Cricetulus griseus: one gene and its partners. The protein of the gene in region 1 purifies or fractionates together with the protein of each later gene. This does not show direct contact. Links are inferred from orthologs where the notes say so. Each region holds a gene or a part of one and is shown in the gene's direction. Other genes may lie near its edges. The genes, in order: Snca, Park7, sodium-dependent dopamine transporter and Clu.

Region 1 (4,254 bases):
AAGGCACGAGGCAGGCGAGGGGCGGGGAGAGGCGCTGACAAATCAGCTGCGGGGGCGACGTGGAGGAGCCGGGGAGCCAGAGCGCCTAGCAGCAGACGGCAGGAGACCAGCAGGTGCTGCCCCTGCCCCTCCGCCCAGAGCCTTCCTTTCCACTGCCACTGAAATAAGATCAGGGGCAGAGAGGAGGAATCTGAATTCTGCGAAGCCAAGGGCGCCGGTAAGTACCTGTAGATAGCAGCAGCTCTGGGGATCCCGGAGAACCCTGGCTAAGAGGAGTCCCGATGCCTGGGAGATCTCCAGCTGAGGCTACCTCAGCGGTGGGGACACGGCCAGTGCATTGAAAGTACATTACTTGGCTTTCCTCGCGCTAGAGACGTGCTCTTCCATTCTCCCAAAGCCCGAGGGGAAACCAGGCTGTTCGTGGCATCTGCTTTTTCGAGCGGAAACGCCAGGGTGTTTCGTGTTGGGTGCTGGGTCCTGGAAGCTGAGCGCTGGGCGTTGGGAGAAACCTGAGCATCCAACTTTCATCCCCCACCCCGGGCACGTTCTATCTCTTATCTGGAGTGTAAGGAGGCTACATTTGGCCAGTGATTAATAAAAGTGCCTAAGGCACTTGGCAACAGGTGATAAGGGGTTAATGAGCACGGGGGTGCAGGGTTTTCAAGCAGATTCCAGTTGAGGACAGGGCCCCCAGGTTGGGTAGAGCTGAAGTGAGCCGGCTCAAGTGTGTGGACAGCGCCTGCTCCGGGCAGATAACAGACTGGAGAGCTAGCAGTGGGTGGAAGGTCTTGTTAGATTTGAACAGCTGGGCTGATGACAGTTGGCGTGCTGTTCCCTTCATCTTGAAGTAAGCAGTTCCCTTCCTTCCCCTCTCCTAAGACTAAACACTTACTAACCCCTTTCTGAGTCCTTTTACCCTTGCCCCCGACTTCAGTACCCCCTTCCATTGGTTTTCTAGACAAGCTTTTTACTTAGAATGTCGCCTTTAGGCCCTGGGAACTTGATGGGGTAGAGTCCACCCATCTTGCCATGTAACTCCATTTTCCAGCTGCTGTAAGAATGGCCAGGTGATCCATCTGGATCCATCCCATCTTTAAGTGGCTTGACTCTTCCTAGATTTGAGTGAAAAAGCTGACAAGCAACACCATGCCCAGTCCTCAAAACAAGCAAGCAAGCAAGCAAACAAACAAACAAACAAACAAACAAAAAAAACGAGTGTTCATTTACACAGAGATTGGGGAGGGGGGGTCTCTACTGATTTTTCAGTGATTTCTTCCTTGATTTTTAAAAAAATTCTTCCCATTCTAGCTGCTTTAATCTTGTTTTCTTTTACTCAAATTTTTAATTCAAAGTGTATTGTGTATTCTCTAGAGTGGAGGAAAAGACATCTTTCGCCATGGATGTGTTCATGAAAGGACTTTCCAAGGCCAAGGAAGGAGTTGTGGCTGCTGCTGAAAAAACCAAGCAGGGTGTGGCAGAAGCAGCAGGAAAGACAAAAGAGGGAGTCCTCTATGTAGGTAGGTAGTGGTGCCGTGACTGATGAGTTGGAGTGGCTAATCACTCAGTGCTGGCATGTGGTGTCTGATTCATGCACATAGCTGCTTCTCAGGAGAGTGACAGGTATGTGGAGGTGAGAGAATTGTGAATCTGCTTGTTAGCTCTCAGAAACAAATGGGAACAATGTTTTCTTTCCTTAGAATACTTAATTTTATTGCTTACTTAGGGTTTTCCATGTTTCTGTGTGTGTGTGTGTGTGTGTGTGTGTGTGTGTGTGTGTGTGTGTGTGTGAGCACATTGGGATTTTTAAAACTGGCAACCCATGAAAAATAACTAAGAATATGCTTATGAATCAGACCCATTTACAGCAGCAGGATGGTGGCATGTGGAATCCCAACATTTGGGACATGGAGGCCCAAGGGTCAGGAGTTGAAGATCATCTTTAGCTACATAGTGAGTTCAGGGTCAGTCCAGTCTACATGAAATCCCATCACAAAACAAAACAAAACAAAACAAAACAAAACAAGAGGAGTCCCAGGCCCTCACGGGACTTTGGCTTCTTTCATCATCACCATAGATAATACTTGTTAATTGCAATTTTAAAAATAAAACTGTAGTATGATTGTATTTAATATCTGTGAAAATACACCTACTTTGGTCCCCCAATAGAAAAAAAAAAAAAGGCAAGTTGTTCTTAGTGGATCTCCCTTTTGAGATGAAGCTCAAGGAACCTCAGATGTGTTTGTGTAATCACCTGGATGATGCACACAGGAAAGAGCAAGAGGTTGATACTCGGTGCCTTTTGTGCCTAAGTGTAAACCTTGAGACAGAGGTCAACACTGTTTACTGGCTTTCCCTGTGTTAAACTGGTTGCACTTCCAGTACTTTGATGGAGGGAAAAGACATATATGTATGCATGCACATTCATCTCCAGCAGAGACCCAGGTGCACAAGGGAGCAAGGATGCATGACTCACCTGCCCCCTCTGTGCTTCTCTGAGCTTCCCTACCTTCTTAGGGGGCCTCTATCTCAGTAGAAGGCAAAGGGTCAACCTTAAGATGGAAATGGAACAGACAAGTGGCAGAGGTGACAGAGAGGCCACACACTGAGACTGAGACTTACCAAAAGTGGGAAGCTGTGCTGGCGCTCCAGCTCTAACTGATTAGTGGGAAAAAACCTTTCATGAACTTTCAAAGTTTCTAGCATATCACCTTTGCTCATTCCTCATAGATTGTTTTTATGTTGACTCCCTTTCCACCTCAAAACAACCTTTCAGAAAGTCTTGAAATGAATATTAAAAGAGAAAGGTGTGAGTCAAGTGCTTCTTTTGGGAACAGTGAGGTCAATGTTTTTGATAGAATCCAGAATATAAAATCAGTTATTTGTAGATTTTTCAGGGCCTCAAAGTCTCCCACATCCTGCAACTATAGACCCATGACTACATTTTTTAATTAGTTACTTAGTGAATGTTATCTTTCTTCTTTTTAGACAACTAGTCACCTAATTTTCTTTTTTAATTTTTTTTTTTTTTTTGAGACAGGGTTTCTCTTATGGTTCTGGCTGTCCTGAAACTCACTATTTAGACTAGTCTGGCCTTGAACTCACTGAAATCCACCTGCCTCTGCCTCCTGGTACTGGGATTAAAGGCATGTGTCACCACCTTCCAGCTAGAGCATTAATTTTAAGCAAATGTAGAAGTTACTGAATATTAATTTATTATTCTTTCTAGTTAATAAACAGATCTTATCAAGTAGAACACTTTCATGTTTTATTGTTAATTGTGAGTTTAGGCAAATAAAGTGATTAGATTTTTCAAAGATTAATTTTGTTGTTCACTGCGAGGCAATTATGTAAAAAGCATAATGTTTCAATAAGTCTAATGTTACTAAAATTATCAATGTTGTTATATTTAATACATATATAATTAATCAATTGCTGGTTATGTTCTGGAGTCTAATTAAAAGCTGAACGTGGGTGGTGGTGGCACATGCCTTTAATTCCAGCACTGGGGAGGCAGAGACAGGTGGATCTTTGTGAGTTTGAGGCCAGCCTGGTCTACAGAGTTCAAGGACAGGCTCCAAAGCAATACAGAGAAACCCTGTCTCAACAAAACCAACCAATCAAACAAACAAAAAAAAGCCAAACACATGCATAGAATTTACTATGAAAAGTGAGGTCTAAAGGTAAGAATTAAGTTAAGATTTTGGTCAACTTTTGTTAATTTTCAAACTTATTTCGGCCAATCTGTCTCAGATAATCAGGTCTACTGTTAAAGTGTGAAAGCAACCATGGGCAATAACCAGTGTGGTGCTGTTTCAGTTTTTATTTATCAAAACAAGAAGCTGGGGTTAACTTATAGGCTAGAAAAAAGTGAAAGGGAATTGGGCTATAACTTATCAAACAAACATAAATTTAATACAAGCTACATCACTTCTACCTTTAGGATCTTGAGGAAGTTAATGTCTTTGAATTTCCTTCCCTTTTCCACAAATAATGTAGTTCATAAAAGTACAATTCCTTTGCAGAGCTTTTGTGGAAATGTGTAACCAAGTGCACTTTCATATTTAGGAAACTTGATTTTTATTAAATAAGCTATTCCACTCAACATGATTTCCTCTTATTTTTCACCAAATATATAAAACTATCATCAATAATTAGCCTGAAGGATTAGAAATAATCTGGGCTACAATTTGTCTCAGTGGCACGGTGGTTGTCTGTGTGCATGCAGCACTGGTCTCGATCTCTGTATCAGAAATC
Region 2 (3,563 bases), on another chromosome or scaffold:
AACCTTGCAAGATGGGCTATTAAAAGGGTGACTCTGTAATTCATCTCCGAACTCAACATTTGTAGCGTAGAGGGTGTTCTAGCCAGTCAGAACTGCGGTAGCAGCTCAGCTACAAATTAGTACTGTCCTTGGACAAACCATAAGATTCCTGCTATTTAATATATCTGGCCATTGCCTCTGCTTGGTTTTGTGGTAATCTCTGACAAGTTACTTAAAACCACCGAATGGGTATTAAGTGTCGCCCTGTGTCTGTATATTTCCATGTTCTTGAACATCTGCTCTTTCTCCAGATTAAAGTCACTATTGCAGGCCTGGCTGGGAAAGACCCCGTGCAGTGTAGCCGTGATGTAATGATTTGTCCTGACACCAGTCTTGAAGATGCAAAAAAGCAGGTTTGTTTTGTATATCTGAACTTTTCCTTCTTGGGGCTTACCAGTTTCTTGTTTGTTTGTTTGTTTGTTTGTTTGTTTGTTTGTTTTGAAATGGCTTTTGGCTGTATCTATGACTGCCGTTAGAATGGACTTAAGAAAATGATTCTGCCCGGTGTTGGTGGTACACACCTTTGATCCTGGCACTTGGGAGGCAGAGACAGGTGGATCTCTGTGAGTTCAAGGACAGCTTGGTCTACATACAGAGCAAGATCCAGGACAGCCAGGGCTACACAGTGAAACCCTGTCTCAGAAAAAAACAAACAGAATTAAAGACAATGATCCTCCTGGATGGGAATGGCTGGCTCCTGTGACTTGTGAGTGGGTGGGGTGGGTGGAGAGCTCACAGATGGTGGCTGAGTGGGAGCATTGTTCTTCATTGGCACTTTTCTCCCAGAGGCCTCCTTACCTCTTAAGGAGGTGACTTTCTCAGTACTGGTAGCTGAACTTTGGGTCTTACACGGCCACGAAAGGTCTCTGCCAGTAACTTTCATCCTCCTAGCCTCTTCCTCCTTTGTTAAAGATTTGTTTTGAGACAGGGTTTTGGAAGTGGCACTCCTGTGGCCCAGGCAGGCCTGACTCCTAACCCCTCTGTCTGGGCTTCCCTGGTAGCTGGATAATGGGCCGGGCTCCTTTTTCTTCCCTCCCCTTTCCTCTGAGAGTGACAGGTAGAGTTGCAGGATTCCTTTCCTGTGGGGTATTGCGTAGGTGATGTGTAGTTGGATTGGGGTAGAGGTGAGAGCTCTCCTTCCACGGTTCTGCTTTCTGTGCATTGTACGATGACGGGTACTGTTGGTTGTCTTTGGAAGGCTAGGATCACTTTCCTCCAAAGCATCCCTGCCCACTGACCCTTAGACACTACCATAGGTCAGAGGTCATGGCTCAGAGTGATAAGAGATGGGCTGTGCCCTGTAGAGCAGAGACACTGCAGCGAAGGAGGGAAAGAAAGGCAGGTCATGAGTGCAGGTCCCCCACCTGTCTCACATGGAGAGACCTGCATTGCTCTCTAAGAAGTTTCAGTATTGCTGAGCTGGAGAGATGGCTCAGAGGTTAAGAGAGAGCACTGGCTGCTCTTCCAGAGGTCCTGAGTTCAATTCCCAGCAGCCACATGGCGGTTCACAACCATCTGTAATGAGATCAGATTCCTTTTTCTGGTTTGTGTGAAGACAGAGCACTCATACACGTAAAATACATACATAAACAAACGAGATTATTTGTGTGTGAGTTTGTGTGTGTGTTTGTGTGAGTGAATGCTGTGTCTCTGGATACTTAACAGAGGCCAGAAGAGGGTGCTGATTCCCCTGGAGCTGGAGTTAATATGGAGTTGTGAGCCACCATGTGGGTGCTGGCGACTGAACTCTAGTTCTCTGCAGGAGCAGCAAAAGTTTAACTGCTGAGCCATCTCTCCAGCCCTCAAGTCTGCATCTTTCTTTCCTTCTGTCTTTTTTTTTTTTGCTTACAATGTTCCACCGTAGGGATATACCTTTATTTGTTTATTTGATTTTTGTTGTTGTTGTTTTGAGGCCCCTGCTTCCTCCTTCAGGTGCCACCACTATGCCTGCCACTTAGTTATTTATTTTTAGTGTTGGAGAATCAGATCCAGGGTCTCACTTGTGCTAAGAGTGTGCTCTACCTAGAGATGCGTATGTATAACCCCACCTCCATGTGCACACTGCCGGTCTGTGGCAGATGGTGCGTCTTCAGATACGAAGCTGTTACTGGGCTACCATTTAACACAGTAGAAATAAAATGTTCTCTTTTATTTCCCTACTCACAGGGACCATACGACGTGGTGGTTCTTCCAGGAGGCAATCTGGGTGCACAGAATTTATCTGAGGTAAAAAACTGCTCAGTTACACCTCATTGAAGCACGTATGAAGAAAGTCTTGTAGCTTCTACTCTGTTGTGCTGTGTTTGTTCTGGTGTGCACCAGGAGTGGTGCGTGAGATGCAGGAGAGATAGCCGAAGTTAGCTGGTGGTGTCCAGCATTGCAAAGCATGGTTCTGAGAACACTTACTGCAGAAGTAAGCTGAATTGGTGGAGCAGCTGCTGCAAACAGGCTCGGCGAATGCAGCCCAAAGTGAGCTGCAAAGGTCCCGGCTCGGCAGCAGCCTAGCAAGTGCTGCCTGCTCTGTCCCCCGGGCTCGGGGGCAGCTGTGGGGCCAGAGGACCAGTGTGAATACAGGGTGGCATCAGAGGTGGCCCGATGAGGGCCAGTGTGAATACAGGGAGGCATCAGAGGTGGCCCGATGAGGGCCAGTGTGAATACAGGGTGGCATCAGAGGCGGCCCGATGTGCCGAGTCAGACGGGAAGGCGTCGGGAGTAGGGAGTGGGCTATGAACAGGCAGGGGCAGTCGGTGGACAGTTCCTACTGGGGTCTTGTCCCATCTGCCATCTGAAGCTACTGAACCCCATGTCTCCTCACTTCTGCCCCTTCCAGAGCACAGGACCAGGGTCATGTGCCCCGATGACACTGTTTTTTCCTGCCCGTCTTCATTGAGGTGGGCCTTTCTCTTGGGGGGAATGTGGGAACCTGTCACTTTTGTGTTTACTGATTTAGAGCTCTTTCTGGAAAGCAGGTGGAAGTAAACTAAGCCTCGAGTGAGTGCCCTGCTCTCCTTGTAAGGTGCTCTGTGGTTCAGTGGTGACTAGGTGTTTGTGTTCTCTCTCTAGTCAGCTGTGGTGAAGGAGATCTTGAAGGAGCAGGAAAGCAGGAAGGGCCTCATAGCTGCCATCTGTGCAGGTGAGTAAGTACAGGGTGTGGACCACGCAGCTGGCTGAGGGGCCAGCCTGCCTGGAAGTTTGAATGCATACAACTTACCTTCGTGAACCAAAAAGGCACCCACACTGGGTGTTTGGTTAGGGTGCCATGAAGTTGTGTCATTGCCTCACTGAGCATGACTGTTGAACTCTTCGTCTCTCCATGCTCTGGGTCTCAAGTCTGTGGAACTCACTGTTTTCCCTAGCTGGTTGACCTGGGGATAAGACCTCTGGAATCCAGCAAACAGCCTGTCGCAGCAGATCTCTGTGCCAGCAGTCTGGCCTGCCAGGAGAGTCAGCAAGAATCTGTGTGGCCTGAACACCACAGCTCTAGCTGGGGCTCTCCTGCCTCCTGCTTGCTGAGGGTTTGCTTC
Region 3 (4,122 bases), on another chromosome or scaffold:
TTTCACAACATGCCCAAAGCTCCATCTCCCTTCTCCCTCCCCCTACCTTCTCTGGTCTCTTCTGTAAGCCGGGGGCTGAACTCAGGCTGTGGGGAAAGACAGAGAACCTTGACTCAGGAGCCACCTGTTTCCTGATCCAGCTGGTGAAGAAACATGTTTTCCCAGGACCCATTTTGCTATCTGTGTCCATTACCTGAGCCATGAGTTAAGGAATAAGGTGGGGCAGACAGGTGCCACCTGTGTGCCTGTAATAGAGCAGGGAGCAAAACTTGGGACCAGGTCTTTTGCTATGCTCCTTGCCCATTTCACATCCAACCTATTCTGGCAATCCTACCTGCTCCCTAGCAGCTGCAAAACTGTTAGCCCATTTTTGACACATGTGAGGGATTTGCATTTGGGTTTGTCACCAGGGTAAAGAGGCCACAGAGAAGTGGTGCATAAAATAACTTCTGTCAGGAGTTTTTGTTTAGGGATGCAGAGGGAAGTCACCCCATTAGAGCAGCCACCCAGATGTCGGGCTTCCATCAGCGTGCTTGTCTGAGTTCAGTGGAAACAGGCTGTCACTGGGCATGAGGGCTGCTACCTCACTTATGCGCCATGGCCCTGGCTCTGCACAGGAGAAGCTTTCTCTAGGAGTGGTGCTGGTGCAGTGGTGGACTGATCCCTCCCCTGGTGACATTCTGGTTAACTCCCTGTCAGCTCAAAGGCCTGTGAAACCATGGTCATGGTCATGGGCAGGGTGATTTGTATATATGCTCTTTGGAGAAACTGATGACCGTTTGTTTTAGACTTTCAGTTACTGTGGCTGATTTTGGTTATATTCATTTTGCTTTTTATTGTATTACTAAGTGTAAAGAAAGCCACACACCCTTACAGAGACTGAAGTAAGTGGAATGCTGTTGGCAAGGTGGGAAATTGCCTGCCCCCTGGAAATGTGGATAAGCAGTACAGGCAACACCTGGGATTGTTATTAGGAAGCAAATTAGAAACCAAACAAGCCTACACTAATGGGAACGCAGGCTTTGGCAGGAAAGGGAACTGCAGGGGTGTGTCTGTTTCTGGTCTCCACAGCCAGTTTCTCCCTTCTCTATGAACATCCCCCAGCTATCCTTCATCCTGGCCATGGCGTCTCAGAGGGTGCTTGGACTACCTAGGGTCTCTGTGCTCAACTCAGGTACCCTGTAGACATGGCTACTGAACCTGTGCATTGCTCTGTGTTTCTTTATGTTCACTGAAGGCCAAGAAGAAAGAAGCAGAGTTCCTTGGGCTCCAGTCCACCCATGAGTAAGAGCAAATGCTCCGTGGGACCAATGTCCTCTGTGGTAGCCCCGGCTAAAGAGCCCAATGCCATGGGCCCCAGAGAGGTGGAGCTCATCCTGGTCAAGGAGCAGAATGGAATGCAGCTGACTAACTCCACCCTCATCAACCCACCACAGACACCAGTGGAGGCTCAGGAGCGGGAGACCTGGAGCAAGAAAATTGATTTCCTGCTCTCAGTCATCGGCTTTGCTGTAGACCTGGCCAATGTCTGGCGGTTTCCCTACCTGTGCTACAAAAATGGTGGAGGTGAGTGTTGGAGGCCTCCTGTGCCTTTTAAGGGTGGAGCCATGGCAGTTGGTTTGGGGAGTTCAGTGAAGGCCATGGAAGGTACAGTGGGAGCTGTGCTCTCAAGAAATGCTCACAGTGAAGGCTGAGGAGATAACTCAGTAATGCACTTCCTGTGCAAGCATGACGACCTGACTTTGATCTCCAGAACCTCTCCCCCCCCAAAAAAAAATAAAACAGGGCATTATGGCACACATTTGTAATGCTAATTAACACTAGGGAGGTGGAGACAAGTAGAACCTTGGAGATTGATAGCCAACAAGTCTCACTCAGTCTAGCCTATCCAGAGAGCATCAGGCCAGTGACAGACACTGTCTCAAAAATCAAGGTGGGCAGCTCCTGAGGAACGACACCCAAGGATGATGCCTGGCCTCACAGATGCTCACATGCTCCTGTGTACACAGGACCATTCACATAACAGGAAATACTGTCAGTGAGACAATCCTGTCCCGAGTAGGACAGTGAGGCTGCTCACCAGCAGCAGTGCCTTCAGTCTTCCCGAGCTGGAGACCTCAGAAAATCTGACTGCCAAGGAACATGGAACCCAGGGAGCAGAGAGGAGAAGGGAGTAGGTGGAAGCATCAGGTCCTGACTTCTATTTCCACTAGTATTTCTACTTTGTAAAGAAAATTCTAAAAGACCAAAAGAACATATTTTAAGACAACTTCAACAGTGTTTATAGAGCTGTTGAACTTTGTACAATTTCAAGTTAAACTTAGAAAGGCAAAAGATGCCCCTGAACTGAAATATACCCATCTCCTCTATGTCCTCTCTACCTCTCTCCACCTTCCCCATCCTGTGTGTGTCTGTGTGACTGTGTCCTTCCTTTCTTCCTTCCTTCTTCTTCCTTCCTGCTTTCCTTCCTTCAGTTTTTCTTTAAATGCAGTTATGGGAATTGAACCCAGAGCCTTGTGCATGCTGGCAAGCACTCTATAGCACTGAGTCACATCCATAGCCCTCTTGATATTTTTAGTTTGAATCAGGATTTCACTGTTAACTAGGCAGTTCTTGAACTCATCCTGTAGATCAGGCAGGCCTTGAACATATGGTCTTCCTGCCTTTAGCCTCTGGAGTAGCTGGGATTATGGGTCTATGCCACCAAGCCTGGCTTCCCCACTCTCTAGTCTCAGCTATAGAGCCGTAGCTGTGCAGTGGAGCTAAAAAGAAGACAAGGAGCAGGGTTAACACAGAAATTCAAGTTGAGCCCAGAAGGCCTCTATTTCCATGGCTTGGTCTCCCTGACTGGCTGCAGGATAAAAGAATTGCTTTGGGAAAGAAGGGCTCACTCAAGCAAATCCATGAGCACAATTGCTTAATTACATACTTTAGAAGGTGAGAGGCCCAAGGCCTCAGCAGCCCCAGTAAGTGACCCAAAGACAGGTGAGGAGATTCCCATCTTCCTCATCAAGACCTCAGGAGAAAGCTGTGGCCAAGCTCAGACTCACTCAAGTTGAGGGGAGCAAGAGGACTCTGGTGGGGTGCAACCTTTGTGGAGTGGAGTGTGCAGGTTAAGCAAACCAAGCTCTGCACTCTGGCTCCAGGAAACTCCCGACTGCAGAAACTCAGCTCTAGTCTCCACAGAAGCAGGCTGTCAGGATTAGGTCACTGATCCCAGGACCACAACTCTCAAGGGGTAAGAGTGAAACCAGGCATGAAGAGGCAGACAGTGCTGGGAGTGATGCTGAGAAGTGATGCTCCAGACTTTGACTGCCTTGCTTCTGGCTGAGCTTGGGACATAGGGTGGGGTGACAATCAGAGGCATTGAGCAGAACATGTCCAACACTGACTGCGGCTGGGACAGGCAAGGAGGTGGGGTTTATCACACATTCAGGATATCCCCTTGGGTGGTAGCTATTCAGAGAGCCTCTCACTGCAGACAGGATGCTAGGTGACAAGATCATACTCAAAGGTACGACATCAGGGCCCACATATGGATAATGAAAGCAGCCCCCTTCTGTGGCCCCAAGCTGAAGCTGTTGTCCTGTGCACAGGTGCCTTCCTGGTGCCCTACCTGCTCTTCATGGTTATTGCTGGGATGCCCCTCTTCTACATGGAGCTGGCCCTTGGACAGTTCAACAGAGAAGGAGCTGCTGGAGTCTGGAAGATATGCCCTGTCCTGAAAGGTAACATGCAGGGATGTGTCCCCCCATGAGGCATGGCCATTTTTCTGGGGCTTCAGAACAAGATGATGGCATTATATACAGGTTCTGCTTTCCTAAACTGTGTGGACATATGCATATGCTCTTCTAAAATGGGTCCTGCCTTAAAGACTGTAATGAACAGGAATCTTCTAGAGCATTCCCTTGCTCCTAAGCCAGGCTGCCCTGCAGCTAAGTGGTGGTAAATTTGTCAGGGTATTAAAATGGTAAAATTAAAAATAAAACCTACTTATCTGTCATCTGTCTATCAGTCATCTACTTACCTATTTATGAACCATTCAGCAAGCACCCTTCTAATCTATCATCTGTCTATTCATGTATCAGTCATCTATCTGTACAACCATCTATCTCCAATCAT
Region 4 (3,563 bases), on another chromosome or scaffold:
TCCTGCCTAACTTGCTGTTTCATTGGCCAAACAGTATTTTATTCAATAATCAATAAGATAAACATACAAAGAAGTACATTCCCCATCAGAACTGGTTCTAAAATTTTTATTTTGGCAATCCCTAGAGCCAATGATGGGCCAGGGGCATGGTAATGAGCTTGATGGTTGATGTGACTTCTGTTTTCATAGCTTTGATTTGCATGTCAGGGGCCACAGTTACAACAGAAAGGTGACACTGGGTCTTTGGGGAGATGAGAAGAGGAAGTGAGGTGTAAGGGAGAGGTGGAGCCTGAGGAAGAGACTGTCAGAGCAGCGAGTCAGAGAGGTCAGGGAAAGCTTAGGAAGCAGCTGGTACTTGAAAGGTAAGAGGCTGCTGAGAGCCCAGCAGGGACAGCAAGACATGTGGGCTAGAGCAAAGATGAGGGCTTCAGGGCTAGAGCAAAAATGAAGGCAGCAGTAGCACGTTGTCCATAGACCAGGGAGGCCTGCCAGGTCTCTGTGTGGCTCACCTGGCCTTGTTATCTTCCTGAAGGATGCTCTAGATGACACCAGGGATACTGAAATGAAGTTGAAGGCATTCCCGGAAGTGTGCAATGAGACCATGATGGCCCTCTGGGAAGAGTGCAAGCCCTGCCTGAAGCAGACCTGCATGAAGTTCTATGCACGTGTCTGCAGAAGCGGCTCTGGTCTGGTTGGCCGCCAGGTGAGAAGGAGACATGTACATGGCCTGGGCTCTGGATGGGGAATGTGGAGAATCCATGAAATAGGCCTCGTTCCATATGCTGGATACAGTTGACTAGCATGGCTTGACGACTTGCCTTTCTAGTGTCAGGGTTAATTGGTGATATCTGACATTGAGTGCAGACGTAAACAACCATCAAAGGTGTGCTTGCCAGGTACCATCTCTTAGAAGACCTTTAACTAGCTGGGTAAAATGGCCTCATAGTATGGCAGAATCCTGTGCTCGTCTAGGGAGAGGGAATTAAGAATATTTAGTATATTAGCATTGATTCTATCTCTGCCTGTGAGCTTCACAAGGCTGGAACTCAGTACGAGTCACTGTTTCCTGAAGGCTGACCACCTAAGTGGGAGTGGCTGTCCTCTACGGTCAAAGATGCCAGGGGACTCTCTTGAAGTGATGAGAATTGTGAGTCTCTGGTCTCACGATGAGAGGTAGATGGAGTGGTACTAGCCGACAGGGTACCTAGGAGAACAGTGGGGACTTGGGTCACCTGCTATGTGATCAGAGGAGGATGAGGCTGGAGTCAACATCTCCTTACTGTGCTTCTCTGGGTCCCAGCTGGAGGAGTTTCTGAACCAGAGTTCACCCTTCTACTTCTGGATGAATGGTGACCGCATTGACTCCCTGATGGAGAGTGACCGACAGCAGAGCCAAGTCCTAGATGCCATGCAGGACAGCTTTACCCGGGCATCTGGAATCATGGACATGCTTTTCCAGGACCGGTTCTTCACCCATGAGCCCCAGGACACCCACTACTTCTCACCCTTCGGCTTTCCACACAGGAGGCCTCATTTCTTATATCCCAAGTCCCGCTTGGTCCGTAGCCTCATCCCTCTCTCCCACTATGGGCCCCCGAGCTTCCACGACATGTTCCAGCCATTCTTAGAAATGATACACCAGGCACAACAGGCCATGGATGTCCAGTTCCACAGACCAGCCTTCCAGTTCCCGGACAAGGGTTTAAGAGGTCAGAAAATACTTGCTTTCTTATCTCCCAGATGTTAAAGCTCTTGCAGGGCTTGGTGTGTGCTGTTTTCATGTTCCTAGCAGCCCTATAGGCTGGTATTTTCTCCATTTATAGGGTAAAGGAACTAGGAGAGGGGGTAAAGGAATGCAGATGACAAAGTGGGGTCTAGTTCAATTTAGCACTGTAGAGATTGGAGTCTGACCAGGCTTCAGTGATGCACACCTTTAATTCCAACACTCAGGAGACAGAGGTAGGTGGATCTCTGTGAGTTCAAGGCCAGCCTGGTCTACAAATCGAGTTCCAGGACAGCCACAATGGTTACACAGAGAAATCCTATCTAGAGAGAGAAATCCTAATGAGAGAGAGAGAGAGAGAGAGAGAGAGACAGAGAGACAGAGAGAGAGACAGAGAGAGAGACAGAGAGAGAGACAGAGAGAGATTGGAGCCTGTGTTCTTTTGTTCTTTGTAGCCAACTAAGGGTGTGACTTGGCCTGTGCCTCCCACAGGATCACAACTTCTTTCTTAGAGACTCTTGAGGGTGTGCTTTGGAAGCCTGTCCTTCCAGGCATGAACTGTATTACAGCCTTTATCGCCCTTAAAGAAGATTCGTGGCCTGGACCTTAGTGTGCAATGTCTGAAGGGATGAAATGTAACATGGACAGAGGAAGCCAGTGTCTGAGGAGCAATATTCTCCTTCAGATATTTGTGTCCTAATACTATGTTCTACATGGTGTGGTGTGTACCATGGGGCTCGATGGCCAGTTAGGGAGTACCACCAGCCAAGGAGATCAGCGAACAGAGAGTGTGCTGTGATGCCAGAAGGCACACAACTGGGGGAATGTGGCAGGAGAGAGCTCCTCAGATAGAGACAGTGGGAGCGTAGGCTGTACCTGCTGAAGAGACTTGGAGATATTCTCTGGGAGCCACAGGGAAACAATCACCGGCATCTTTCCCTGACCACAGGGCTGAGCAGAGGTGTGGAGGAGTGTCAGGTGGGCTCCCTTCCAAAGTGCTGTGTGCCTCAATCTGCCTCTTTCTCCCATCATATGTGTCCAGAAGGTGAAGATGACCGTGCAGTGTGCAAGGAGATCCGCCACAACTCCACAGGGTGCCTGAAGATGAAGGGCCAGTGTGAGAAATGCCAGGAGATCTTGTCTGTGGGTGAGTGGATGACCATTCTACAATCTGGTACTGTGGTCATCTGACTTTGGGTCACCAGGGACTCACTGGCACTGCTATCCTGCAGAGACTAGCTCTCTGTCTGTGAGCTGTGGTCCCTGAGAGGGTCCTCACCTTGATGCACAGTCTACTGTCCTCATGTCTAGAGTTAGGTTCATTATTTGGGAGCTACAGTAGAACACAGTGCCTCAACCCTGCTGGGCAAGTGTTTCACCAGTGAGCCACAACCATTGTACTTAGAGTCAAGTTCAGATGCAGATTGTTCTAACACAGATGAGGTGTATCTGAAGCACATTCCACCTTGGTGGCCCATGGTAAACCCACAGTTCATGGTGGGTGTCATCATAGAATATGACTACAACCACCAGCAATCCACAGCTCGTTCCCCTGGTTACTTTGTCTGCAGTGCCAAGTATAGTAGGCCTTGCTCTTTTTTTTTTTTTTTTTTGGTCTTCTGAGTCAGGGTTTCTCTCTCTCTCTCTCTGTCTCTCTCTGTCTCTCTCTCTCTCTCTCTGTCTCTCTCTCTCTCTCTCTCTTCTTAGAGGACAGGCATTTTGTTTAATGAGCATTCACCACGTGCCAGGCACTGTTGTAAACACTTCACAGATGTTTGTTCACCCTTCAGAATGATCTTGTGAGCTGGGTACAGCTCTTTCCATCTTGAAGAATGTCTAG

The links.
Region 2: the proteins of Snca (region 1) and Park7 purify together in Homo sapiens (affinity purification with western blotting; 3 studies listed by BioGRID and IntAct, with this or other methods). This does not show direct contact. The link is inferred for Cricetulus griseus from reciprocal best matches to the Homo sapiens genes SNCA and PARK7.
Region 3: the proteins of Snca (region 1) and sodium-dependent dopamine transporter purify together in Homo sapiens (affinity purification with western blotting; 6 studies listed by BioGRID and IntAct, with this or other methods). This does not show direct contact. The link is inferred for Cricetulus griseus from reciprocal best matches to the Homo sapiens genes SNCA and SLC6A3.
Region 4: the proteins of Snca (region 1) and Clu purify together in Homo sapiens (affinity purification with western blotting; 3 studies listed by BioGRID and IntAct, with this or other methods). This does not show direct contact. The link is inferred for Cricetulus griseus from reciprocal best matches to the Homo sapiens genes SNCA and CLU.

The regions. Positions count from the first base shown.
Region 1 is NC_048601.1:81,915,668-81,919,921, forward strand, and holds the start of Snca (alpha-synuclein), read left to right. Parts: upstream 1-1,396; coding exon 1,397-1,517; intron 1,518-4,254. UniProt on the Homo sapiens protein: Neuronal protein that plays several roles in synaptic activity such as regulation of synaptic vesicle trafficking and subsequent neurotransmitter release.
Region 2 is NC_048595.1:5,487,940-5,491,502, forward strand, and holds part of Park7 (Parkinson disease protein 7), read left to right. Parts: intron 1-290; coding exon 291-392; intron 393-2,205; coding exon 2,206-2,265; intron 2,266-3,102; coding exon 3,103-3,172; intron 3,173-3,563. UniProt on the Homo sapiens protein: Multifunctional protein with controversial molecular function which plays an important role in cell protection against oxidative stress and cell death acting as oxidative stress sensor and redox-sensitive chaperone and protease.
Region 3 is NC_048595.1:368,201,719-368,205,840, forward strand, and holds the start of sodium-dependent dopamine transporter, read left to right. Parts: upstream 1-1,280; coding exon 1,281-1,566; intron 1,567-3,596; coding exon 3,597-3,728; intron 3,729-4,122. UniProt on the Homo sapiens protein: Mediates sodium- and chloride-dependent transport of dopamine. Also mediates sodium- and chloride-dependent transport of norepinephrine (also known as noradrenaline). Regulator of light-dependent retinal hyaloid vessel regression, downstream of OPN5 signaling.
Region 4 is NW_023276807.1:220,967,150-220,970,712, forward strand, and holds part of Clu (clusterin), read left to right. Parts: intron 1-532; coding exon 533-703; intron 704-1,300; coding exon 1,301-1,709; intron 1,710-2,765; coding exon 2,766-2,870; intron 2,871-3,563.